Mus musculus: one gene and its partners. The protein of the gene in region 1 purifies or fractionates together with the protein of each later gene. This does not show direct contact. Links are inferred from orthologs where the notes say so. Each region holds a gene or a part of one and is shown in the gene's direction. Other genes may lie near its edges. The genes, in order: Srpk2, Zfp638, Srrm1, Dido1, Ythdc1, Dgcr8 and Snrpa.

What was found.
Region 2: the proteins of Srpk2 (region 1) and Zfp638 purify together in Homo sapiens (affinity purification with mass spectrometry; 3 studies listed by BioGRID and IntAct, with this or other methods). This does not show direct contact. The link is inferred for Mus musculus from reciprocal best matches to the Homo sapiens genes SRPK2 and ZNF638.
Region 3: the proteins of Srpk2 (region 1) and Srrm1 purify together in Homo sapiens (affinity purification with mass spectrometry; 3 studies listed by BioGRID and IntAct, with this or other methods). This does not show direct contact. The link is inferred for Mus musculus from reciprocal best matches to the Homo sapiens genes SRPK2 and SRRM1.
Region 4: the proteins of Srpk2 (region 1) and Dido1 purify together in Homo sapiens (affinity purification with mass spectrometry; 3 studies listed by BioGRID and IntAct, with this or other methods). This does not show direct contact. The link is inferred for Mus musculus from reciprocal best matches to the Homo sapiens genes SRPK2 and DIDO1.
Region 5: the proteins of Srpk2 (region 1) and Ythdc1 purify together in Homo sapiens (affinity purification with mass spectrometry; 4 studies listed by BioGRID and IntAct, with this or other methods). This does not show direct contact. The link is inferred for Mus musculus from reciprocal best matches to the Homo sapiens genes SRPK2 and YTHDC1.
Region 6: the proteins of Srpk2 (region 1) and Dgcr8 purify together in Homo sapiens (affinity purification with mass spectrometry; 3 studies listed by BioGRID and IntAct, with this or other methods). This does not show direct contact. The link is inferred for Mus musculus from reciprocal best matches to the Homo sapiens genes SRPK2 and DGCR8.
Region 7: the proteins of Srpk2 (region 1) and Snrpa purify together in Homo sapiens (affinity purification with mass spectrometry; 4 studies listed by BioGRID and IntAct, with this or other methods). This does not show direct contact. The link is inferred for Mus musculus from reciprocal best matches to the Homo sapiens genes SRPK2 and SNRPA.

The regions. Positions count from the first base shown.
Region 1 is NC_000071.6:23,504,968-23,508,467, reverse strand, and holds part of Srpk2 (SRSF protein kinase 2), read left to right. Parts: intron 1-747; coding exon 748-932; 3' UTR 933-3,500. UniProt on the Homo sapiens protein: Serine/arginine-rich protein-specific kinase which specifically phosphorylates its substrates at serine residues located in regions rich in arginine/serine dipeptides, known as RS domains and is involved in the phosphorylation of SR splicing factors and the regulation of splicing.
Region 2 is NC_000072.6:83,927,853-83,931,352, forward strand, and holds part of Zfp638 (zinc finger protein 638), read left to right. Parts: intron 1-800; coding exon of another isoform or gene 801-1,002; coding exon 1,003-2,313; intron 2,314-3,500.
Region 3 is NC_000070.6:135,343,147-135,346,646, reverse strand, and holds part of Srrm1 (serine/arginine repetitive matrix protein 1), read left to right. Parts: intron 1-201; exon of another isoform or gene 202-1,977; coding exon 1,978-2,148; intron 2,149-2,667; coding exon 2,668-2,783; intron 2,784-3,500. UniProt on the Homo sapiens protein: Part of pre- and post-splicing multiprotein mRNP complexes. As a component of the minor spliceosome, involved in the splicing of U12-type introns in pre-mRNAs. Involved in numerous pre-mRNA processing events.
Region 4 is NC_000068.7:180,685,103-180,688,602, reverse strand, and holds part of Dido1 (death-inducer obliterator 1), read left to right. Parts: intron 1-805; coding exon 806-1,127; intron 1,128-3,426; coding exon 3,427-3,500. UniProt on the Homo sapiens protein: Putative transcription factor, weakly pro-apoptotic when overexpressed. Tumor suppressor. Required for early embryonic stem cell development.
Region 5 is NC_000071.6:86,828,266-86,831,765, forward strand, and holds part of Ythdc1 (YTH domain-containing protein 1), read left to right. Parts: exon of another isoform or gene 1-1,214; intron 1,215-2,288; coding exon 2,289-2,371; intron 2,372-3,398; coding exon 3,399-3,435; intron 3,436-3,500. UniProt on the Homo sapiens protein: Regulator of alternative splicing that specifically recognizes and binds N6-methyladenosine (m6A)-containing RNAs.
Region 6 is NC_000082.6:18,286,369-18,290,418, reverse strand, and holds the start of Dgcr8 (microprocessor complex subunit DGCR8), read left to right. Parts: upstream 1-1,250; 5' UTR 1,251-1,316; intron 1,317-1,322; exon of another isoform or gene 1,323-4,050.
Region 7 is NC_000073.6:27,193,472-27,197,720, reverse strand, and holds the start of Snrpa (U1 small nuclear ribonucleoprotein A), read left to right. Parts: upstream 1-1,449; 5' UTR 1,450-1,730; exon of another isoform or gene 1,731-1,940; intron 1,941-1,960; exon of another isoform or gene 1,961-2,164; 5' UTR 2,165-2,186; coding exon 2,187-2,277; intron 2,278-4,249. Other genes in the region: BC024978 (UPF0692 protein C19orf54 homolog), read right to left, coding at 355-707. UniProt on the Homo sapiens protein: Component of the spliceosomal U1 snRNP, which is essential for recognition of the pre-mRNA 5' splice-site and the subsequent assembly of the spliceosome. U1 snRNP is the first snRNP to interact with pre-mRNA.

The DNA.
Region 1 (3,500 bases):
AGGCTGGCCTCGAACTCAGAAATCCGCCTGCCTCTGCCTCCTGAGTGCTGGGATTAAAGGCGTGTACCACCACTGCTTCTCCCCACCCCTCTTTCCCCCCCACATTAGAACATTTTAAGGTTTTATAAAAAACTGTCCTTGAGGTCATATTTTACTATAAATGAATAGAGATAAAAATTCGTTGTTTTGGGTTGCTAGTAGCTGCTTGAGGCTATTTCTTAAATTTAGACAAAGTAGAGTTCCTATGCTCTGTAGGTGTACTAACCGTGTGCCTGTTAGCCCTGTGGAGCCAGTGGACAGCACAGTTCAAAAGGACATGTGCACCATCAGAAAAAGTTAGATTTGCATTGAGGTAGAAGCACATGTGAAAACACAGCAACAACTTCAAATAGCCTGCATCATCCAGGTATCCTAAGCCAGTTTACAGATGGCGGCGGCACCACGAAGCTGGAGTGTGAGCAGCTCTCCAGTGGGAAGCAGACACTCTCAGTGCTTTTGCAGCTCAAGAAGCACAGAGCTGATTTATTTGTTCAGACGTAACCCATTTACACTCACCTAGCGTGCTTCGACTTGACCCTTAGCTCTTCAATGAGACTTGCTTAGGGGAGAAAAGCTAGCGTTCTTTGTTGTAGCCAATGGTTTGAGAGGTAAAATGTCTGCTGCAGTGAGAAGAAGCCTGTCTGGCTCAGGTCATCCTGAGATGTGCACTCGTGGAGCGTCTCTGATGCTGTACTTCTCTCTCTCCAGGAGAACTGCGGCACATCACCAAGCTGAAGCCCTGGAGCCTCTTTGATGTACTTGTGGAAAAGTATGGCTGGCCCCATGAAGATGCTGCACAATTTACAGATTTCCTGATCCCAATGTTAGAGATGGTTCCAGAAAAACGAGCCTCAGCTGGCGAATGCCTTCGACATCCTTGGTTGAATTCTTAGCAGATTCTACAAATATAGCATTCTGAGCTAGCAAATTTCTCCCAGTACATTGGACCTACACAGTGGCTCTCATTCTTTAACAGGATTACCAGTGAGCTGGCTCCACCCTCAGACCTTTGTAGTGCTTTGAGGTACTGTTGTTTGACACTTTGCTTCCTGTGCACCATGGTCCTGGGGAAGGCTGGTCTTTGTCTTCAGCTAAGTAGTTTACTGGCCATTTTCTTCTGGAAACAATAACATGTCTCTAAGCATTGTTTCTTGTGTTGTGTGACATTCAAATGTCTTTTTTTTTTTTTGAACGAAAAATACTTTCCCTTTTGTGTTTTGGCAGGTTCTGTAACTATTTATGAAGACATATTTTAGCTGAGTATTATATAATTTACAATCTTAAGAAATTATCAGTTGGAACCAAGAAAGAGCAAGGAAATGTACAATTTTATCGTCTGGCAAAGGGAAATCATTCCTGTATTATACTAGTGTATGTAACTATTACTTTGCATAAATAGGGGATGAGGATTCACATTCAGAAAAGCTACCCAGTCCTGAGCGCTTTTTGGCCTACATTGCATGTTGCAGATTTCCACTGCTTCAGAAAGTTGCACAAACTTTTCATTCCATAACAACCCAAGTGGTTCTGGACGAGGTGCCATGCCCTCTGTGGCACTTTAAAGAGAGAAAAACTTTAAAAATTTGACACTATAATCTAGCAGTTCCATTTGTATTTTGCATATTTTTAAGCTATGTTTAAAGTATCAGTCATTTCCACTTAAAATGTGATGGCCCAATCCCCGGTAGTGTCACCTCTCACCAGCACTGTAAGTTAAATACGTAGATTAAATTGGACAAGAGAAATATGTTCAGTGTGTGGAATGAAAAAAATATTTTTTGAAAAGCATGATCGTGTTTGTTTAAAACACAAGGCGTGGCTTAGACAGTTTGCAACGCAGTGGACCGAGCACTCCTCACAGCTTCAAGGTAACAGCGACCGTGCCCATGCCGTCCTAGGCAGCTTCCCTTCCCTCGCCTTTTCCTTACCTCCCATGAATGAGAAGGCCATTTCCCCTTTGCAGACCGCATACAGTTTTAGTTTATGCATTTCCTTAAAATTAACTGTAGAATCCAGGATACAAACCATTAGTAGGCAATACTATTTTAGAATGTAACATAGGAGGTGTATTTAGCCTCTTTTAGAAGTCAGTGGGTTGAATGTCTTTTTTTTAAAAATTTTTATTCATTAAGGTGCCTCGTTTTTCTTGACTTTGTCCATTAACATTTATTCATATGCCTTTGCAATAATTAGATTGTGAAAAGCTAACAAGTGTTGTAACAATAATCCTTTGTTTGGGGTGCTTGCACTTGTCTTAAAAATTAAAGTGTTTTGGGGTGTTTTTCCAGACATTGCCTTGCTTATTACCCTGTATTTCAAGAGACAGAATCAACATACCTTTGCTCTCTGTAGTGTCAACAAAGCTAAAGGAGTTGCAGATTGTCACAGAACATACATTAAGGCAGAATGGATTTATGAACGAGGCTTTAGTTATAGCTTCATTATCTACAATGTGGGTGTTCCCTTTTTTTAATCAGTGTTTCATCGTAAGTGCAATGGTTTCCTCCCCTGTCCCCTCCAATCTTTCCCTGTGTGAACAAGACACATATCCTTCTTAGGGTTTAACATTTTTATATCATACACTGTAGTAAGATAGACGATGCCACTCATTCACAAACTATGCATGCTGGGTTTTTCCAATGAGGCTGTGCGTTTCCTTATAGAGCCTATGACAAATGGTGGCTGCTGAGTCATGATTTCTATAGAAACATTCCTATAAGAACCACAGAGTGTGTTTATGTTTTCCCTACCTCTGAAAGAACTTTTACCATTTGAATGAAATTTGTCTAATGAGGTTAGAAATGTCAAATTGGAAAAGGAAGCTAGAATATTAATCTTAAGGTGGTTCTTCTATTAATAATACCCTAGCGAGTGTATGATATACCAAGGAGTTCTAGCATACACTTTTGTGATTGGGTACCATATGGTTATATCTGATTCTTGGTAGCATGATGATAAAGAATAAATGTAAAGGTTGGGTGTGGTGGTGCACTCCTTTAATATCAGCACTTGGGAGGCAGAGGCAGGAAGATCTCTGAGGCCAGCCTGTTCTGCATAAGCTCCAGGCCACCCAAGGTTATATAGTGAAGGAAAATCTAGGAAGAAAAAAGAATAAAAGCTTAAAGTGAACCATTGGTTATTTGGAACATTATAGCCAAGTCAGTCTTTTTAGTGAAAAGACCCTATGAAATCTTCATGGAAAATTACAAGCAGTGGGTCTCACATGTGACTTTAGCAGATCCAGAAATAGCTAATCTAAAAAATGGCAGAACCATCCAGAGAAAAAGTAGTAGGGAGTGTAAAAGAAGTCTACTCTTTAACGAGATCTGCTTGTTTGTCCATATTCCCTGCACCATGCATAACTTAACAGGTATGAGTAAAAAAAACTTTCATTGGAATAGAAAACACGTTCGGATTATTTTTCTTTTCTTATTTTGTGAGGCAAGGACTCGGAGATCTGC
Region 2 (3,500 bases), on another chromosome or scaffold:
TGTAAAACTATGCATATTTCTGGGACTTGTGAGAACTAAACGACTAAATTCATGTAAAATGCTTAGGAGAGCAACTACAACATGGACATTTTCTCTAAAGTTAATCATTGTTACCTATGTATTTTGTCTGTATTCTCAACAATTGAAAGAACAACAACAAAAACCCTAACTGGTTTTGTTACCATGTTATATTGTGTATTATAAGGAGTTCCATGCTCCAGCACCTCCTTGTTAAAGACTTTGTAATTAGATTCCTGGTGACACATTTTTTTTAACCAGAAACAACTGTTCAATAACAGAAATATAAGTATAGCTTAATTGCCATGTGGAACCTAGTAGATGTGAAGGCTGATTCCAAGGAAGAATGTGTCTTTCAAAAATGGGTCTAAATAAAACTTTAAAGTTACAATTCTTTCATGTCTGATCACACACATAGTGTTTATTTCTAAGAATCTTAATGCCTCCGTCTTTTTTTTCAGTATAAAAGCACAAAATAAATCCTCAGTCTTTTTCAAGATTATGTAAAAGGACTTGTGAATTACATCTCAGCACCTAGGACAGCACCCAGTACAGCTCGGCAATGTACATGAACTTGAGGTTTGGGGTTTGTGTTCTGGAATCAGAAAAGAAGAGAAAGTTTTAGAGGAAATTTTAAATCTTTGTAAGCCCTTACTCTAAAAGTATATGCAATGCAAAATGATATCATGGCTTGATTTCAAAATGTTTTACTCTGGCTGTAGAACCCACTGCATGAAGCAGTTTGAGTTAAAATGATCTAATATTTGTGTTTTAACTTTCAGCTTTGTGTTATTCTTGGAAAATTTCGCACCACTTGTGAATTCCTTGAGCCTGGGCATTGCGAGCCCACTTCTGTTGGGCCCGTCTCCTTTGCGCTTTGCTCAGATTGAGACTCAGTTGGCGCTTCAGCAGCTGAATGCCGTTGCCTCCCATGGTTCAACACCACCTTATACTTTTTTAAATCAGGCATTCTTGAAAGTAGCCATGTCGAGACCCAGGTTTAATCCTCGAGGGACCTTTCCACTTCAAAGGCCACGAGCACCTAATCCTCCTGGGATGAGGCCTCCAGGACCATTTGTGAGGCCTGGCTCTATGGGTCTTCCAAGATTTTACCCAGCAGGGAGAGCCCGTGGAATTCCACACAGATTTCCTGGCCACGGATCTTATCAGAACATGGGACCACAAAGAATGAATGTTCAGGTAACTCAACACCGAACCGATCCAAGATTAACCAAAGAAAAATTGGATTTTCCTGAAGCACAACAAAAGAAGGGGAAGCCTCATGGTAGTCGGTGGGATGATGAGTCTCATATAACTCCACCGGTAGAAGTGAAACAGAGCTCTGTAACCCAGGTTACAGAGCAAAGTCCTAAAGTACAGAGCCGCTACACAAAAGAGAGTGCTTCAAGTATTTTAGCAAGTTTTGGATTATCAAATGAAGATCTAGAAGAACTTAGCCGCTATCCTGATGAACAGCTAACTCCTGAAAATATGCCATTAATATTGAGGGATATAAGAATGCGAAAAATGAGCCGCCGATTACCTAATTTACCTTCTCACAGCAGAAATAAGGAAACACTTAGTAATGAAACAGTTTCAAGTAATGTGATTGATTATGGGCATGCAAGCAAATATGGTTATACAGAAGATCCACTTGAAGTACGTATTTATGATCCTGAAATTCCAACTGATGAAGTAAAGAATGAATTTCAGCCCCAGCAGAGCATTTCTGCAACTGTTTCAACTCCAAATGTGATATGTAATTCTGTGTTTCCTGGTGGAGATATGTTTCGTCAGATGGACTTCCCTGGTGAGTCCTCCAGTCAGTCTTTTTTCCCAGTTGAGAGTGGAACCAAGATGTCAGGCTTACACATTTCAGGACAGTCAGTCCTTGAACCTGTAAAATCCATCAGCCAGTCTATTAGCCAAACAGTTAGCCAGACAACGAGCCAGTCTCTGAATCCTCCATCTATGAACCAGGTACCCTTTACATTTGAATTAGATGCAGTTTTACGCCAACAAGAGCGGATCTCACAGAAGTCTGTGATCAGTTCAGCTGATGCACATGGTGGACCTACAGAAAGTAAAAAGGATTACCAATCAGAGGCTGACTTGCCTATTCGGTCTCCCTTTGGGATTGTGAAAGCTTCGTGGCTACCAAAGTTTACACAAGCTGGTGCCCAGAAAATGAAGAGACTGCCAACCCCTTCTATGATGAATGATTATTATGCAGCATCTCCAAGAATATTTCCACATTTGTGTTCTCTGTGTAACGTAGAATGTAGTCATTTGAAGGTGAGTGTTTTTAAAAGATTGCTGTACAATGATGCTCAGTGCCCAGGTTTTCTCTAAATTCTGTTATGTATGCTGCTGTTAACAAAGCGTTAACAAAAGTGCAACCCCAGCACCTACTTGTAATCGTAAGTACTTAAGTACTGAAATGAATGTTTGGGTTTCTACATCCTGTTACTTGGCATACTATATAGTTTGCCTTTATTTTGAACTTTAGTTATTCCATTTATGTAGCATCTAATTTTTCTAATGAATTGTGTACTCATAACACTGCTACATGGGAAAGTATGTTTAAGATTTATTAGGATAAAAATATAAAACTCATCTGTAACATACTTTTAAGGACAATATATCTTCTAGCCCTGTGCATACCTGTTCTAAAGATCTTAATGTTGCTTTAAGGGTTTTTTGATTTTTGTATGGACCAGTAATTTTTTTCTTGAGAAGGTGCTTTTAAAATAATTTCATAGTAGAATGATTCAGGATATAAAGATGATTATGATTATGGAACCAGCCATGAGCTCAGAAAAGAGAGTAAAATGCTGGAAATTCAGAGAGAAACATCCAAAATATATGCTTAAGGTACCTTGTGGTTCGTGTAGACAGAGGAGACATTTGCACAGACGCTGAGGAATGGTGTTATGTAGTGTTTGCTGTTTGATAATAACTAGTGGTAAATTTGAGCAGGAACTACCACATTCCCCCTTTCTTAACATACGTGTATAGGAACCACTGATTCTTTTGTTTACTAATGTAGTTTTTAGGTAAGAATGGTGGGGAGGAGGGAACGTACCTTAAGAAGCTTTAATTTCAAGCTTTAGCCTGGAATTGGCTGGGTAGCTTGAAGAGGTAGGTTTACATATGTGTAGGTTTTAGTTCTTTTGTTATTTTTTTTTCTCTGCAAATACTGCCATTTTATTGTCTTTGTATTCATTTATCAGTTTTCAGTCAGTGACCTAAAACCTGAATTGGTTGCTTTTGTCTTCAAGTTAACTTTAGCAAAAGAAAACATCATTCTGGGCTGGGAGTGTATTCGGGGTAGAGCACATGTTTAACATATATCATGCCCTACGTTCAATCAGAAAGCAGCAATCTATCCACAGAAAAATATGCTGAATTTTAGTACAGTAGTAGTTGCCTTATTCCATCAAAGAGAATAGATGTCATTTGTTACTCAGAAAAAAAATCTC
Region 3 (3,500 bases), on another chromosome or scaffold:
AGAAGGGTTACTGTACAATGTTTGTTGTGAGAAGAATTCACTTTGTAAAACAGCTGTTAAGGCTGGAGGTCTAGTGAAGGTGCATAGTTTTGAAAGCTACACAGGTGAAAAAATCAAACTTACTGTTTGTAATTTTGCTGTTACATGTTAAGTTACTTTGACAGCAATTTTCTAATGATAATGTGATTTATGATTTAAAAGGCCTGAACCAAAATGGAAGTTATTCCTTGCGTCTGAAGTATAGCACCATCACCTTATTAGGTCACAGCAGAGTGAGTGTCCCAATGTCGCTCTGACCCAACTCCCTTGATGACGCAGTGTGTGTTTGGAGGTGAGTTGTGTAAAGTGGCCGAACATCAACAACAACAACAACACAAACAAGAGCAATTGGTAAAGCTGTGTACTGCTCTTTAAAGTAGCATTTTGAGGTGGACATTTATTTGAAGCATGAGGGGCGATCTGATTTGACTGGATGTTGCTTTTAAAAGAACTGAAGACTTTAGTTGTAGTTACAAGTCAGTTGCTTACCAGTTAGAATTAAGGCACAGGATTTTATTTACATTGTAGTTAGAAGTTCAGGCAGATGGATTGGCAGTCCTATAAAAGCCAGTTAACATAATTGTTTCTATCTTCCAATATGAAATAATACAAGATGATATAACTGTTTACAATTATTTCTGTTGTAACATAGTTTGCTATTTTGTCATGGTACCCAAAGGACAGTAAAGCCGTACCATAAAACCTTTTGGTAACTGTACTGACGTGAGTTTACTTTTACATTACTCCTGTTCCCAAGAGTTCATGCTTGAATTTTGACAGAACAGTTATCATTCCAAACGATAAGGTATTTCATTTTTAAAACAATGTGGTAATTATTTTGCTTTGAATGTTTTTTAAGACTTAATTTTAAGAAAGGACCTTATGTTTAAGTATATTTATTTATTTCCTTTAGAGACCAGAAACATGGGAGGATGTTTTTTAAATGCTTAATTTACTATTTTATTAGAGAAATGCTTTACTGACTTGAATTTTAGTGAACTTTAAAACCTAAATACCTGGTAGTATTCCCCTGTAGTGAGCATGAGATTAAAGTGTAGAGCTTTTTAAACAATCTTTTCTTTTTTTGTGGTTGTGTACTCATTATTGCTTGTTCGTCTTTTGCAATTTAGATAAATGATATAACATTAAACTCAAGGTGGTTGAGTTGCAGTAGGGAGTCGGAAGCAAGCCAAGGGAACATCTTTCTCTACAGGGGACTTGGCGATTCCAAACCCCCAAGGTTCCAAGAAGACACTGAAGACACCTGGAATCTGTACTTGCTTTGTGCTATTGAGCTGTGCTTGTTATACGGACCTTGTTGCTTGACCAACAGAATCTAGTGTTTAAAAACCCAAATTACTTGTAGAAATCTTGACTCTTAGTTTTGTGGACAGTTGAGCATCTGTGGCATTGTTAGTAACAGGTTGTCATGTGCAGTAGTCAGGCTTTTAGCTTAGTCTTCAGATGTTACAGAGTGCATGCTTAACTCGTTAGTTCTTGTAACTGAGCACTAGATATTAGATAGTTTATAGAAAGTTACCTGTAGTGTAAAGAGAAGTGTTTATGTACGTTTTCAAGTTTTGGTTGGGGCAAGTTTTCCAGCCAAGCAAAAACTGTTAGTAAATGCAAGAATTTATAGATGTTCCATGATTGTTTTTAGAGTTGATAAATGCATAAGCCCACTAACAGCCATACAGTCTAAATACTTAGGAAATCCACAAAGGCTGCTCTAATGCTTTTGGTTCAGTGAGGGAGAATTGGATTATCTAGAAATTACATTACCAAGATGCAACTAGGGAAAACTATTTTTACAGTAGTAGAGCATATATATGTACCTAAGCCCCTTATGGTAGACTTAAATACTAATTTAAATGAATTTCAGATAGGTTGGCTAGTTTCGAAGTAACCTGTTTTTCTTCCTGTCATGTCTTTTTGCAGAACCCAGATTCCAAAATGATGCAAATCAACCTGACTGGGTTTTTGAATGGGAAGAATGCTAGAGAATTCATGGGAGAGCTGTGGCCCCTGCTGTTGAGTGCACAAGAAAATATCGCCGGAATCCCTTCTGCTTTCCTAGAGTTGAAGAAGGAAGAGATAAAGCAGAGACAAGTAATGCTTTTTGTATTGACTTGAGATGTCATACACGGTCGGATGGTTACCCTGAGGGCTTTGTCTCTTTGAGCTACTGTAGCCTCTGATCCGGCTAGGCTAGTTTGCTGGATGTGTCTGCCCACTGAGTTGTGGCTTACCACATTTGAAATTAGAGTGGCGTATTCCCAGAGGCAGTGACAATTGGACAGAGTGCTTTGTTTTTGTTTTTCTCAGTTCTTAAAGTATAAGTGCATTTACCTTAAAAGGGAGTCTAAATAAAGTATCTAAAAAGTGTGTGCAACTTCTCGCACAGGTAGTAATTATAAAGTCCCAAGAGAGTGACTATATAAATGATAAGTGAAATGATATAAATGGTATAAGTTTACATTAATGATAAAGGATAAATGAAAGAGTGTTGTAAGAGTGAACTTGAGAACATGGAACACCTTGCAGCCAGTCACGCCTGTGAAATGGCAGTTGGAGCACCCGTGTCAGTACCTTAATGGATGCTCTTAGTGCTCAACTCTGTGCTTGCAGATTGAACAAGAAAAATTGGCGTCTCTGAAAAAACAAGATGAAGATAAAGATAAGAGGGATAAGGAAGAAAAGGAAAGCAGCAGAGAGAAGAGGGAGCGGTCTCGCAGCCCAAGAAGGTACGGCAGAGCAGCTAGAGATGTGGTGGTGTGTAAGGTGCCTGGGGTCCTTAGGGGTGCTCTGGTCCAAGTTCCCTAGCTAGAAGACCTGGGGAGCACCACTGGAGAGCTGCTGTTTGCTTCTGGGCTAAAGAGAGCTTTTCTGTTGCTAGCCTTTTGGCACGTGTTTTTATATTCAGGAGATTAAGGCAGTGGGGGTGTAGGGGTGGCTTCTTAAGCCTCTGTTCAAAAAAAAAAAAAGACAAAGCCAGATCATTTGACCAAAATGATCACCTCTAATTTAGGTGAGTTACTCATTCTTAAGTAGAAATTTGGATTTCATATTGCTTTGCTTAAGTAAGACATTGGAATTTTTGTTGTTACTGTATTCTGATTATTTCCAGTCCCTTGTATTGCAGAGCTGCTCATTAGCGTTCATGTACTTACCTAATTCCATGTTCTGCTTTTCTTAGATGGTTGTACTGAGCCCAAACTTCAAATCATTTATTTGTTTTCTTCTTTCTTCCAATGAGACTATTGTTAGGTTCACATTTTTAAATCCTCGGTTCAGCTTCTGCTATATTTGTGGTGAAAGGTGAGAATTCCATTAGGCTTTTCATTTTTAGGACTTTAAAAAATAAATCTGTGGGGATTTGTAATGAAAAGAGGAGGTAATATTTTTGTTGTTTGTGCTGAGTTGGAAAACCTAGAGAAGCAGTGCCTCTAAAGGCTGAGTGT
Region 4 (3,500 bases), on another chromosome or scaffold:
TGAAAAGCTCACTGCCTCAGCCTCTCAAGCCATGTGCAAACGGTGGACACTGTAGATAGGCAAGAACCATCTGTTGTCCCACAGATCCTATGAGAGTGTTAGAGGACATAACTACAACTAGTCTGGTCCTTTGAATTGGATGCCAGGTGGTGATGGGGCATCTCTGTGGCGTTGTTAGGAGATGAAGTTGCTGCAGCTATTGCTGAGTGGAGATACTCTGAAGCCTCTAGTTCACTCTTAAAAGTGTTCTAGCCAAAAGATGAAAGACTAAGGATGTTGTTCATTGGGTAGAATGCTTGCTTAGCATGCATGAAGCCCTGGGTGTGATCCCCAGTATCTCATAAAGTTGTGAGGTGGTATATGCCTATAATCAGCTTTTAGTAGGGGCAAGAGAATCAGAAATTCAAGATCATCTTTGGCTACGTAGGGAGTTTAAGACATGAAAAAACCTGTCTCTAAAAGTAAGTAAATAGAAGAAAAGATGGGTGGACAGATAGCTCAGCAGTTAAGAGCATGGACCGCTGTTCTTCCAGGGGTCCTGAGTTCAAGTGCCAGAAACTACGTGGTTGCTTAAAACCATCAGTAACGGGATCCATTGCCCTCTTCTGGTGTGTCTACAGACAGCTACAGTGTGCTCATGTATATATAAAGATGAAGCAGATTTGGAGTGCTGCTAACAAGGGCACTTGGGTGTTTTTAGTTCTGATCTCACTTTTCACTTTATTTGCTTGCTGTTCACAATAGAATGTTAAAAGTTTGACTTGGTGATCTATTGGACAGTGACCACATAATCTTCCCATTTTAGGTTTATGATCTGCTGTGATCGGTGTGAGGAGTGGTTCCATGGTGACTGTGTGGGTATTTCTGAGGCCCGAGGGCGGCTCCTGGAAAGGAACGGGGAAGACTACATCTGCCCAAATTGCACCATTTTGCAAGTGCAGGATGAGACAAACGGTAGCGCCACCGATGAGCAGGACTCTGGGTGCAGATCTGTGGGTGCTGATGGCACAGACTGCACAAGCATAGGGACAGTAGAGCAGAAGTCCGGAGAAGACCAGGGCATAAAGGGTAGGATTGAGAAGGCAGCAAACCCCAGCGGCAAGAAAAAACTCAAGATATTCCAGCCTGTGAGTATCTGTCTGCCATGGCAAGCACACATGTAGGGCTTTCTGCTGCTGAAGAGAGCAATACTAAGAAGGTGCCTTCTCTTTAGGACTGTTGGGCTGGGCTTTTGTGGGCAGTTACTGTATCTGTACGGGCCTGGGCCCTGCAAGAGAACATTCTGCTGCTGGTACACCTTGCCACTCCAGTTGGTGTCAATTATGACTGCTCCATCATAGCCTCCTTAGTGCCAGCAGCTTACTGTGCTCTAATGGTCACTTAAGGGGAAATCCATTTCTCCACAGTGCTATTGACTGAGTTTGAAGAAAAAAACCTTACTTTTTCACACGCTCTTGGTGTTACATATTTTGAGTGCTGGCAGAGTTATTGAGAGAAAGGTGCACTGTGCTCTGCTCTTACTTACATGCTGGCCTAAGTTGTTCCATGCCTGGTACTCATGTTTTCTTCATTCTTCCTACTTGAGTTATGTTATCCCATGGGGCCATAACTGTCAAATTTCCCATGAGCTGAGACTAGCAGTCTTGCTGCTCAGGAGAGCTTTCTCCTGCTGTCAACAGGTGTGTTGCATTTCTCAGGAGGGTGCCACCAAGTGCATCTTCACTTTAAACCCCAACCCCCACAGCACCTCCAGCAGGTGAGAGTCTGGGGAAACTACAATCTAGACTGGCACTGTCTTAGTTCTCACTGTGCTGCAAGGTGAAAAAGTGACAATGACATCACACCGTGGCCACTAGCACCGTTTACTGGAGGAAGTTGTCAATTTGATGCTTTTATTATTGCCAGTCAGTATGTTAGACATTGCCTGAATTTTAGTCTGTGTAAACTTAGATTTGGTAGAAGAAAAGCAACTATCTTAAATATTTATCCTGAAAACTGGGAGCTCTCAAATTGTCAGACATATGTTCTGTTCAGTCTTCCTGATATACTTAGAGCTAAACGGTCTCTAGTTTTCTGAAATGTATGTATCCTGTGTCTTTTGGCAATCTCCCTCCAAACCACTCAAAACAACAAACAAAAAAACAGGCTGCCTTTCTTCAAAACTAACAGTGGATCTCTTCTCTCTTAGGGCACGGCACATTTACTCTTTTAAGAATTTTCACTTGAAGGCTAGGGGTGGTGGAGTCCAACCTCTAAAGGCAGTATGAGTTCAATATATATATTTCCCTCTGAGGGGCTGGAGACGTGCTCAGATTCAAGAGGAACTAGGTTCAATTCATAGTGCCCATATGGTTCTCATCGTCATTTATAGTTCAAGTGTCAGGCAGTCTGATATCCTCTGTGCATGGACAGACAGACATGAAGGCAAGACACACATACATATAAAGGAATTTCAATTTTTTGACAGTTATAAAGAGGAATTTTTACCTGGACTCATAAGATGGCTCATTGCATAATAGCATGGGCCATCAAATCTGATTACCTGAGTTTAATCTTCAGATCTCACATGGTAAAAGGAGAGAACTGACTCCTGAAAGTTGTCCTGACTCCTGCTGTACCAGCTATTCATGTGCAAGCCTGCGGGTATATGCACATGCATGCACACACAATATGTAACAGAAATCTTAATGAAAATTTGTAACTCATTAAGTCTACATTTTTTGCCCTCTTTTTTTCATAGTGGTTTATTTTTAACATGTGTGTCTAGGGGAGTAGTGTGCAACAGTATAGATGCCCTCAGAGGACAGGGCTATCTGACATGAGTTCTAACAACTAGACTGCTCTTCTGTAAAAGCATCCTCTGAACCATGTTTCCAGCTCCTCTCTTACTCTTACCTCATTTGGGACCTGCACATGTTTAGAGGGCATATAGATCTGAAGCTCCCATGTGTGCAGAGTTTGTGTGCCAGGGCAGTCAAGGAAAATAGGTTTGTATAGTTCACAAAGATAGGTCTTACCATGTAGCCTGGGCTGACCTGAATTTCGGAAGTCTCCTGCCTTCCCTTCCCATGTGCTAGAATGGTGTTAAAAGATTATGTCATCATGCACAGCTAACAAATGAAAAATGAATTTTTATTCATATAAAACTATTATTAGAGCCATCCATAGTGATGTACACCTTGCACCTTTAGTCCCAGCACTGAGGAGGCAGAAGCAGGCAAATCTCTTGAGTTCAAGGCTGGCCTGGTCTGCATATCAAGTTTCTGGGCAGCCAGAATTTCATAGTGAGACCCTCTCTCAAAAAACAACCAAATAAAAATTCCTGCTAGTGTCTTAATACCAGTGACCACCAATAGTGCTGTCACTGAGCACTGATCACTAGTGTCTGCACACATGATGTCTGAAGTTGCCTGTCTTGTTCTGCAGGTCGTAGAGGCTCCTGGTGCTCCTAAATGCATTGGCCCTGGGTGTTCCAGTGTAGCACAGCCTGACTCTGTGTA
Region 5 (3,500 bases), about 63 Mb from region 1:
TTGAGGATTTCACATGGTCACGTTGGCCTCATTTTTTTCAAGAGGAAAATGGGGATCTTTCCTAATGCAGAAAAAATAATTTACTAACAAGTGATGACCAGTTTAGACTAGATAGTACTCTGATAATACAGCAAGTGAAACGAGGTAGGCATTTTGTTGCTAAGAACAGGCTAGAAAGGAGGAAGAGGAGGAAGTCTTTATTTGCAAAAATTGTTAATATTTTATAAAGCCCTTTCTTTCAGGTGTGTCTCTGGATAAGCCTTACCACATATGGGACTTTTATAAAGGATCACTAATATTTTTTGAGAAGATGACGCCTCACTTAGAGGATAAAATGTTTTAAGTTATTTCATATTCAAGAGGAGCATTATTGGGACTGTTTCCAATTTTGTCACCGTGATGTGTTAACCCCATTGCCACATATTCTGTAACATGTGCCCAGTGAATTCACACATCCAGCTGAGCTTCTGAAAACAATAGGTTCTTTCCAAAGGGGATCAAGTGGCCCTGGGAGACCCGGCAACAAACCAAAACGAAGGGCTGTTGCTGTGTCTGTTTACAACTTTTCCAGATGCTGGCAGTACCTGTGGACTTAAAGTGTTTTTTAGAGGATCGCCATGGTTATTGATCACTACCTTATGAACTAAACAGCATTTTCCAGAAAAAGGGGGTTTAACTTGTTACAGAATTGGAGAGAAGTCTTTGAAAAGAACTGATTTAAGCCCTTCTACCCAACACCTTCCCCTGTATAGATTTGCATACAGCTAATCTAAAATATTCTGCTAAAGACTATTGGATGTGTGGTTGATGGGATGAAACCTTTGGTTACGTTTCCTTTGCTGGAAACAACCTGTGGTAGGTACAGATAATCCAACAGGAGTCCCATTTCTTTGAGCTTAAAAAGGACTTTGTCGAGTAGGTAGGAGGAAACCTGGCAGAGCCCCTTACTTTTGGCCTAAAAGGACTGATCACCAAGATGTCTTTTCAAGTTTAAGCTAAAAGGTTTCCAGTGCAATACAGTAAATACAAGTGAAGTTTTTCCTCAGTTTTGCAATGGACTGCAAACTATACTTATAACACCACTACACCTCTCAAGCCTGCCAGGGCCTCCATTTATGTATGTGGCTTACAGTCAGTAGTTGGACTACTATATGAACTGTTACTATCATGTTTTATACCGGTCGTAAATGCACTCCCCAAACTACAAGAAAGCGGTATGTTTATTTTATAACCAGCTTTTAATTTACTTAGTATTATTTATTGTAGATGCAACTGTTTTTATTCTGTTGGGGTGGGTGGTACTTGGTTTGTTGGATTTAACTGCAGTTTGAGTGGTTTGGTGCAAAAGTTAATGAGAACATTTAATATTTAGAGAGAGAGCTGAAAAATTATTGATGTTTGGTTATTATATACTATATATTTGAAACTAATAGTAAAAGGATTATGTTTAATCCCTAAATGTTTTGGAACTTTTTGTTTTGTTTAGCTCTTATTAAATGCTAAGTAAAGTGTATTTTATGTTGTATTGTTATACTAGCTATCAAGGTTTATGAAAGACAATGAAGAACAGCCCTCAGCAAATTAACAGCACCTTTTAAAGTTTGAGCTAGTGTTATGAACTCTGTTAAAACTTATTACATAGCAATTCATGAGAGCCGTTTTAAAAGTCATTGTCTCTGGAAAAATTACCTTAATAACTAATGTATTAAAGAAAGTAATGTTACTGAGATGCTAGTTTTTCAAGTAACATTTTCAAAACCTGTTACATAGCTTTATTAAATTTAAAACTTTCTGTATAATATGAAAACTAGTTTTGTGTAAAGCAGAGGGATCATTTAAGACTTCTTAACCTTGTTTATTTAGATTTGTTTAGATTGAATCTAAACTTATATCTATATACATTTCAGACCTAACTATTACATAATTGCTGATGTGGTTTTCCTTCTGTTGTTACCTGAATGGTGACATTTGGGAAACTTTGACTTGTTAAAGAACTGCTCATATATGTTTAGACTACTAAAATGTGTTTTACAGGGTTGAATTAGATAATTCTTGAGGTTTTTTTTTACTGTGAGATTACAGAGAGATCTACTCCACAGTATGTGTATAAGGATTGCCTTTGAGGAATTAAAATTTAAGAACTTTTAAGTTGTTCACCAAAAATTAATGGCAATTTCTTTTAGGAGGCCATGGGCTATTCTTTGTACTCATCTCTGTCAAACTCTTGCTTTGCTGTTTGTTTTACCAGCTGTTTTTGGTTTAATTTCTAATGTGTCTAATTTGTGTAGGCGTCGACCAGAAGATTATGATATTCATAACAGCAGAAAGAAACCAAGGATTGACTATCCCCCTGAGTTTCACCAGAGACCAGGTTAATATTTTATAATCCTGAAGATTATTTGACTTAAAATTATTAAAACAACAAAAACTTTCAATAGGTTTAAAAGAGACTACTTTTCCTTAGAAAATCCATACTAGTTTTAATTAGTAGATCTTCCCTACCATGTTTAGATTGTTCAGTCCACTTCATTGAGTCATAATTACATGAAATTTCTGTCTTTGCAAAAAATGGAAATTGATCTGTACATGTGTAAGATGTAGGAAAACAATTTTGTTGTGCTTTCTGTTCCTTAGGATACATAGTGTTTCCTGTCATATGCAGCATTAATTGGAAATCAAGATAGAAATTAGGCCTTTAAAAAAATAAACTTGATATCATTTTGGAGAGTGATGGTAAACACTTGGCTTGTTATCCAAGTGTAAAAGTTTTCAGTTAGTGTGTTGTTTGTTGAGATTAAAGAAGGGGTATGTTTAAATTACAGTCATGGACACACCTGTAAAACTCTAGAGTTTGGTTCTGGTTAGCATTATAACTCTAGTATTTTATAACAGTGGTTTTACAGAAGTATGTTTTTTTTCTAGGGAAGGCAATTGTGTTCCATTTAGACAAATACTTTCCCTAGTAACAGAGCCAGTCAGACATTTTTGTATATTAGTTTGCTGGACCCTCTCTAAAGGAAACTAGGGGGTGGAGTAGATACTTGTTTTGTTACTTGATTCTTAGAATATACATATACTCATTTTTGCAGCTTTTTGCAAATTTTTGTCCTTTGGAGTCTTCATGGTTTAAAACTTAGCTGTAGCTGTAAGCTCTCAAGGTGAAACATTGTTTAAAGGCCATTCTGCTGCAGTGTCCTCAAGCAAGTTCACATGTAACACTCAAGTTAGTTCTCTGTCCTTAAGACAGGATGCATGTGAAAATCTCTGTAGTAGTTGAATGATAACATCCTTTAAGTATATTCCTGGGAAGAGTTGAAACAAGGGTAAGGAAGGTTTAATTATAATGCCCTAGTAAAAATATAAAGTTTGATTTATTAAAATGCTTGATGTTTGAACAGGGTATGTAAAGGATCCCCGATACCAGGAAGTGGACAGGTAAGTTGGGCTCACTCTTGCTTAGCTTTGAATTACATTCTTGGAACTAGTTTATGAATTACCTG
Region 6 (4,050 bases), on another chromosome or scaffold:
GGTGGCTCACAACTATCTGTAATGGGATCTGATGCCCTCTTCAGTTGTGTCTGAAGAGAGCAATGGTGTACTAATATAAATAAAATATATCTTAAAAAAAAAAATAGATACAATCTCCCCAACCTTAGGGATATAACTCAGTGCTTTTAGCATTAACACAAGTGTGCTGAGACCGTGAGTTCTTCAACATGTTACCCTTTAGTCGTGTTTTTAGCATCCACTTTTCATGTCCAGCAGCAATTACTGAAGTGTTTGCCTAACGGCAGACAGTTTTCTATAAAATTTTTATTACACTTATTGACTTGAATCAGAACCTAAAGGAAAGCTAAACTATTTGAGGTTCTGGATAGTATAAATATAACTTATCCCCACCTTAGTCCCGGGCTTATAGCAATGAAGTAATGGTTTGTGGGTTCGGGATTTGAAGGGCTCAGGAACAGACCTGGCTAACTTCATTTTGTTTCTGAGTCACTTCTGTCCTAAAGAATTTTCCTAAGTCTCATACTGCTACCACGGGTGTCAGATGAGTCTGGAACTGCTTAAGTTTCTTTATGGTCTTTGGCACTGACACAAGTCTGCAAGGCCTACCTAAGGTCCACCCCAAACTAAAAGGACCCCCAATCGGCTCTGCTTCTCCTTCCTTTTTTGACACGGAGGATGCTGTAAGCACAGCGAACATTTTTAGTCATCAGATCTTTGTCCTTCCTGGTGTGATGATATTGCGAGTAAAACTCCTTTCCTATCCTCCGCATCGCGCATCTTATCCGTTGACTTTCTAGGATGGGTGTACCTCCAACATTGTCCTTGGGACGACCCAGAGCCGGAGGTCCATTGTCATTCGCAAACTCAAAAGTGACTATTGAGCTCAACAGAGGCCAGCTCATAGATGAGCTCCCAGCGTCCCTCGCACTCCCGCGCTCCCCGGCTCCCGGCAGCCTCTACGCGCCTCTCTCCCGGCGCGCCCCGCGGCCGCAACTCAGCCCCACCCGGAGCGACAGCCGTTAGAAGTGCCAGGCTTGCGGCTGGTCCCGCCCATCCCGGTCTCCATAGCGCCTCGCAATTGGGCCGCGCGCGCCTCGCGCTGCCGATTGGCGGCCGCCTCAGCCCGCTCCCGGCTCCCCCAATGCGCGGAGGCCGTGCGCCGTGATTGGTAGCCCTCCGCCAAGGCCCGCCTTCCGCTCGCCCGCGCGGCAGCGGGTCTCAAGAGCCGAGCGCTTTGCAAGGGCCTTCGCGGGTTGTGGCGGCGCCGGGGTCGGTGAGGGTCGACCGGCTGTGGTCGGGCTGCGGGCGGCTCGGGCAGGTCGCGGGCGCCACAGGTAGGTGCGGGGCGCGATGGGCGCCCCGCGGGCGGCGGGCGCTGCGGCCTGGAGAGGCTGCGCCCTTTCCTTCCCTCCTTCCACCCCCACCCCTCCCGGGCGAGGCCACAGGCCGGGGCTCGGGGCGGGGCGCGGCGCGCTAGGCGGGCTGGGCCACGCGGAGTCGCGGCCTTTGTGCAGTGGGGGCCGGGCCCGGAGCCCAGGCATCATGAACGTAGGGTGCTGTCTGCCTGGTAACGAAGCCCCCTGGGCGGTGGGCCCGAAGCCATTGCCTCGCCTTCTGGCGGGAGAGGTGTGGGCAGGGACACCTCAACGCCCCGAACTCCGCCTGTTTTGTTTGGAAAAAGCCAAGAAACCGCCCAAGTCTCCACCAAATTACCCGTGGATGAAGTGTCATGTAGCTTATCAGAATGTGGTTTTACAGTAACAATGAACGTTGTAGAAATAAATGGCAAGTGGCAACCTGTTGACAGCGATACATGTCAAGTAGTATCATCCAGTGGATTTGGGTTGCTGATGGTAGGAATTTGATTTGCCATCTTGCATGCTTGCATGTACCTTATTGCCAGATGCAGAGATGTCCTGTGTTGGGTTGTTGACTCTTGTATGCCAATCACTATTAGGGTGCCCACTCTCTGCTGGCTCAAACTAGACTCCCAGCCTTGGAAGTGGCTCAGTTCCCACTGTAATCCATCACTAACCGAAGATAGTGAAAGGCTGGCCCAGCTAGTGTGGCCTTTCAGTTTAGAATAGGATTTGCGGGGTGACAAAGGAATTGATGAGGTCATACTGCCTTTGGGTTGAGCGGGAGGCTGCAGCTGTAGCACTGGCCATCCGTTCAGCAAGTAGGAGTTGTTCACATGTTTTGGGTAAGCCCTGTGCCAGGGTCCAGGGGAGCCAGCAGTGGGTCTGACTTGCTCACAGTCTAATTGGCAAATCAAAATCTGCATCCATAGGTCCAGTCAGCTGAAGAATAGTGAGGTTTACAGGCAGGAGGGCTACCCTTTGAGCTGTGTTGCCAAACATGTGGAGCAGGCAGTTCACAGTGGCTGTCTGAATTTTACCTTGTGAGAAACATGATTTTGACTGGTTTGCCCAGTTTGGCCTTCTCTTGTCATCATTCCCCTCCCATGTGATCCTATGTACTTTTCACATCAGTTTCCTTTGACATCTTCCATGACTCCCATCTCCAGTACTGTCTGTCCTCCCTTCTGATCTCCAATCTCCTGCTTCTAGTTGTCTATTCCACTTTAACACCAAATAGGTTGATTCACTCCAAGAGATAACCACAGTCCGTGCCAGAACAATCCTTATGCCTGTCTAAAGTCACCTTGGTGCCTCTCATAGGCCTGCATGTATCTCCTAAGAAGCCTTGCCACCTGTTTACAACACCAGACCATTTCCCAGAAACTGTAACCTAAAGTCCCTGTCCAAGCTATCTGGTGAGCTTTTAAACTCTTCTAATTTGATCCCTACTCTTACTCTCTTAGGTTTTCTGGACACAGAGTGATTCATTAAATTGTAAGGTGTTATAAAACTGAGGTAGTGCAGACTTAGGCCTGCTTGTTTGAGTGGCAAAGCAGCTGTACCACTTCCTAGCTTTGTAACCTTGAGCAAATTGTTTAACCTTTCTGTCAGAGTACTGAGTGAATTGCATAAAATCCTTAGAGCAGGACCTGTGTGAGGTTTAGCTGCCATTGTTACCCATGGATCAGTGATACCACTGTTTTGATCCCTTCTGTGCAGTATCCTGCTACTCAAGATAAAAATGTAAAAAACTGAATACTTGTTGCCCAGGTCAGTTTCACTCAGCATACTATCTCTAGCGTGGCCACACCATGGCTCTGCCCCAGGGTCTTTGCTTTTCCTTTAAGTATCTTCTACAGTGACCCTCCTTTTTACTCTTGTTAACCATCTGGCTCCATCTATTTCATCCTTGGGTGGGCACTGGCTGTAGAACCTTGTGTAATCTTTTAGAAGCTGCTTTCTAGATTTTTATCTTGCTTTGTTTTAGCAGAATATTTGTCAGCATGTGACATCATAGATACGTTTCTTGTTATTATCCATCTCACACTAATATGCTCTGTGGGGGAAGTGTAATTGCTCTGTGGGGCAAATGTTTTATCTGCTTTGTGCTTAACACATATACATGGTGTGTATGCCTTATGGGGCATTCAGCAAATAGTTGATTAATGAATTGAGTAAGCTTTCAGAGGGAAGGTAAGAAACTTACCTTAGCCTGCTGCTGAGTTCCAGAGCTGGACAATTTGCCTGCTTCTGCAAGATGTGTACTTTCCTTTTCCAGGGCCTCAGGGTCCCCACCTATGATATATATTTCTTTAAAGCTTTTCCTGCTTTAACACTTATTAATGTCTTCACTTATTGCCTTCATCTGTAGTTCCTCACTGGCCCACTGCTTTTAACATACAGTATGCTTCCCTATCCTCTACCACTCTTGTCTCCAATCCCTGCCTACTTGAGTGTTCTTACCATTAGCATATCCTACCTCAGATACCACAGATTTGACTTGCTGTGATCTCTGTACACCTAACAGGCACTGTCCTGATCTTATTTGAGGTCTGTTAGGATTAAGCATGCTGATGATTTTGTCCTCTGCAGTGGTCCTTGGTTGCCAGGAAACTTTGATCTCCCTCCTGGCTTCTTAGTTATTGCTCTCTTCTCAGTCATTCATAAGCACCTTTGATGGGAACACCTTTGGAGAGGTGTTTTGTTA
Region 7 (4,249 bases), on another chromosome or scaffold:
CTGCTCGGTACTGTCTGCTTTCATGGCACTGGCCTGCATAACGTGCTCACTAGCATTTGTAGCTGCTTCGATTCTAGAAGCCAACACTGAGATCTGTCCTTGGGCTCCATTATCACAACTCTGGCTACTCTGGAGTCACTGTCTGGAGGCACAGAACCACTGGCTTCTGTGTCAAAGCCAGGCCCGAGCAGAAGCTGTTCTCTCTATTGCTGGAAGCTAACTAAGTAGGGTACTTAAGGCATCTGGCTGTTTGAGATCAAGGAAGTGGGACCGCAAAGAGCAGGGTGGCTGTGGTGACTTGTAATCAGGTGATTGTCTGAGATCTGGGCTGGTTTTGGGGGCTGGAGACCCTACCGGTCCTTGTGCAGCTTCAGGAGCCTCTTCACATCCTCTTTGCCTTTGGGGGCTGGGCCAGCCTTCTCTAAGGCCTCCTTCAGGAGCTGGCTGTTCTTCAGGCCATAGACATGAGGGAGAACAGGCTCCACAGCAGAGGGTAGAGGGGGAGGGGGAGGGGGAGGGGGAGGAGCAGGAGGGGGGGGAGGGGGCGGCAGTGGGGATGAAATAGATGTATGGAGACTACAAGGAGGGGATGGTAAAGCTAGGTCCGGGGGATTTAGAGGTAAAGGAGGTGGAATGTTGGTGTCTGGGGTCTCATGAATTATTGGAGAGATTGTGGGTTTTAGGGGGAAAGAGCATGGAGAAGTCATTTGGGGTCTACAGGAAGAATAAGAGGCTCTCCCCAAATCTCCCAAGGATGGAGATTTTCAGTTTTTAAAGGAACTGGATGAGAGATATTCAGGCCTGCACATTGAGATCTGTAAAAAAAAAAAAAAAAAAAATTAAAACTGGAGTTGATAGCAGAATATGGTGTCTGGCCAGTTGTTCTGGGAGAACCTGGGCTAGTATTTGAAACAGTGGAAAGAGAAACTGGGCTAAATCAAATGCTGAAGGATCCCGAAGGGTGGTCTGTGCTATGGGGCTGGGGCTACATTAGAAGGGACATTTTGTAGGTGTCATCTCATCTGCTGTAGCTAAGCTAGTTTTGGTCACTTCTGTTATTCGGAGGTTCAGATCTGTTGTGAGGTGTCTAAAGGATGTGACTTGCCTACTTTTTGCATTGCGGGCCTGAGTTTGAAACCTTGACTTTACGAGCTAGGGTTAAGAGGTTACAAAAAAGGCACGTGGGTGAGAAAACAGCCTAATGGTGGGCGGGTCATGGGCTTAGCGGGGAAGTATGAGAGTCGCAGCAACTCAGCGATCAAAGGCCAACTAAGTTGGTATAAACCTATCAATTTAGGAACTTAGGAATCTGCACAAGCGCCTCCCCAGGAGGAAATGACGTCACCCGGCCAGCCTCCACCTGTCCTTTCCCATCCCACGTGATAGAACTCGCAACCAGCACAACGCTCTTGAAGGTCACGTGATACTGGCGGAAGGGGAAGAGGTGTGGCTTCCGAAAGGCAGTCTTAGAATGCACCAGAGCTCTAACCATGTCCCAATTGGCCAGAAGCTCGTGCCCTTCTTTGATTGGTCCGTTCCCTCGCGTCCAGGGGGCGGGACCCCAAGTGTTCCTTTGGCAGACGCTGAGGCCGGGGGAGAGACTCTGAACTTACCGAGTTTGCCCGCCGTGATTAGCTCGCGGAAGGGAGAAGCCGTTGCCGGGGAAGATAGTTGTGTGTCTGTGCAGCGTAGCTCGGCGGGCGTTGTCGGCGGGAGCGACGGCTCAGGTGGTGGGTTCCCGCGGGTTGTAGACGCTGCTCGGCGCCGGGGAGGCGGGTGGAGCACTTCGGGAGGCCTCTCTTTGAGAGACTAGGATGTTCCAAGTCGGCCCCTACTTTCTTAACTGGCTCCGACATCCGGGGTCTTTTTTCCTCCCGGGACGCCTTTCGCGCACGTGGACTAATGGGAAGCGCCGCTCGGTGTGCTCCGCCTGCCGGGACTCGTAGAGCATTCTGGGATTCGTAGTTAACCTCTCTAGCTCTCCCTTAGCACGCGGGTTGGAGAAGCGGGGGCCTGTGCTGGCTTTGTTGCTAAGCTGTGACATCCTCTTCCAATTCCGGTCTTACTCGACTTCCTCTTGGAAGGGCGATCCCTGAGCATCAGCCCTTTGGAACAAAGAATTTGGGAAACTTAGGGCTAAAGTCGCTTTTTCCTCCTCTTTAAGCCGTACCTGAACATCTCACACCATGGCCACCATAGCCACCATGCCAGTTCCCGAGACCCGTGCCAACCACACTATTTATATCAACAATCTCAATGAGAAGATCAAGAAGGATGGTGAGTTCTTGGGGTAGCCTGACTCAAGGTGATATCACAAGAGTTGACCCCTTTTCACCTCTAGCATCCACATTTCTTTTTCAGCCTTCCCCATTCTGTCTGTTAGGAGTTAACTTTGGCCTTTGTACCTACTGGTTCCTTGGTTTCACCCTAGGTTTTACACTCTGCCCTTTAATCTGCGCATTGTTAGTGATCTTCCAGGTTTTAGCTCATAGGTCCCTTCTTCCTTTGAAGCCTTCCAGGATCGTTCTTGCCATCAGTCTGCTTTCATGAGACTGTCTCTGTCCACTGACCTCTGGGTGGTGGCCTCAGTGATTGACTACAATGCAGATGACACACAGGAGGGATGGGCAATGGATGGCTTTGTGATGTGGGTGATTGTGCCGCGTTCTAAGTCTTGACTGTCTTTAATTCTCACAAGCCTCTCAGATTAAGTAGTTGGAATTTGGGTGGCATAACTTGCCTGGGATCAAATAGCAAGAAAAATGAGACAGAAATGTGGGGTTCTGCTTAAGCAGATTCTTAGACTGGGCTGGTTGGCAGAGGCTGTAATTCTGTTCTTCAGGAAGAGTGAAAGTTTGAAACCATTTGGGACAACATGGCCAAAGCAGATAAAAAAGAAACCAAAGACAAACGGTTTCTTTTAGGGTGTGGAGGTACAGGGCTGTAATCCCAGTACTCAGGAGACTGAGGCAGGAGGAGCTTGAGTTCCAGACCAGCTGAGGCGACATAGCAAGACCCAGTGTCCAAAAGGTTTGAGGAATGTAGCTAGTGTTAGTCTTGCCTAGCAGGAGTAAGGATCTGGGTTCAAATCTCAGCAACTAAGAAAATCAGCATGGCCTGGAGAGAGCTCTGTGGTTAAAGAATGCTGCCTGATCTAACAGAGGATCTGGTTTTGATTCCTTGCCTCCAGGGAGGTTCGTAACTGTGTGTGTCTCCAGTTCCAGGGGATACGACATCCTCCTCTGGCTTCTGCAGGCAAAAAAAAAAAAAAAAAAATCCACACATAAAATTTTTTTTTTTTAAGATTCTTTTTAAATAGAAATCCCTACCAAATAATTCAGTTCTTGTCTGGAAGTAAGGCCCATAGTTAGAAAGTTTCTGCAAAGACTGAATCCCGGCACACATTTTTAAAAAAGTAAACACAAATGACTATTTTTATGTATTTATTTTGTGTGCATCTATAAATGGATGCATGAGGGTGGTCAGGACCCCTCTAGAGAAGCCTTTGTCTTTCAGCTGTTGAGTTCCTGAGATCATATTCAGGTCGTGAAGGCTTGTGAAGTGGATGGATGCTCTACTGCCCTTGCACTGGCCCCTTGGTGCATTGCTTTGTGGAAGTAATTCAGAAGTTAAGGAAGGGTAAATACTGGTTCTTATGACCAACTGGAGAAAAGTGTCGTGGGAGGACTGGGAAATGACTCAGCTGGTACGCATGCTTGCCTGTAAGCCTGACTTCCCAGGTCCCACTGTGATTGACTTCAGGTACCTGGTGCTCCTGCCTCAGGCTCCTGAGGGTTGGGATTCTCGGGTGGGGCCAGCATGTCCAACTGACAGGCTTGTAGCTGTTAGTGGTGGTCGGTAAGTGGACTTGTGATGTCAGCAGGAGACAGGGTAAGAAGAGGGCCATAAGGGGACATCTGGACAGTGAAGTTGGAGAGAGCTTCCTGCAGGGAGGCTGCAGATTTATGCTGAGACTTAAGTGGCTAGAGGGGCAGTCATGGAGATGTCAGGAGAAGGGCATTCAGTGAAGAGTACAACGGCTGAGGTGTGGCGGACACTAGGAGGCCGTGCTTGTGAGTCAGACTGAGACAGGAGAATTGTTGACAGTTTCAGGCTATAGAATGGGATCCTACCTTGAATAAACAAGTGAAGGAAGGAAGGAATCGATGGCATGTCAGGCTTAAAGGCCTGGAAGGTTAGCTTAAGAGTGAAAAGAAGTGTTTGTTATTTGAACAGCAAGTTTGTAGTA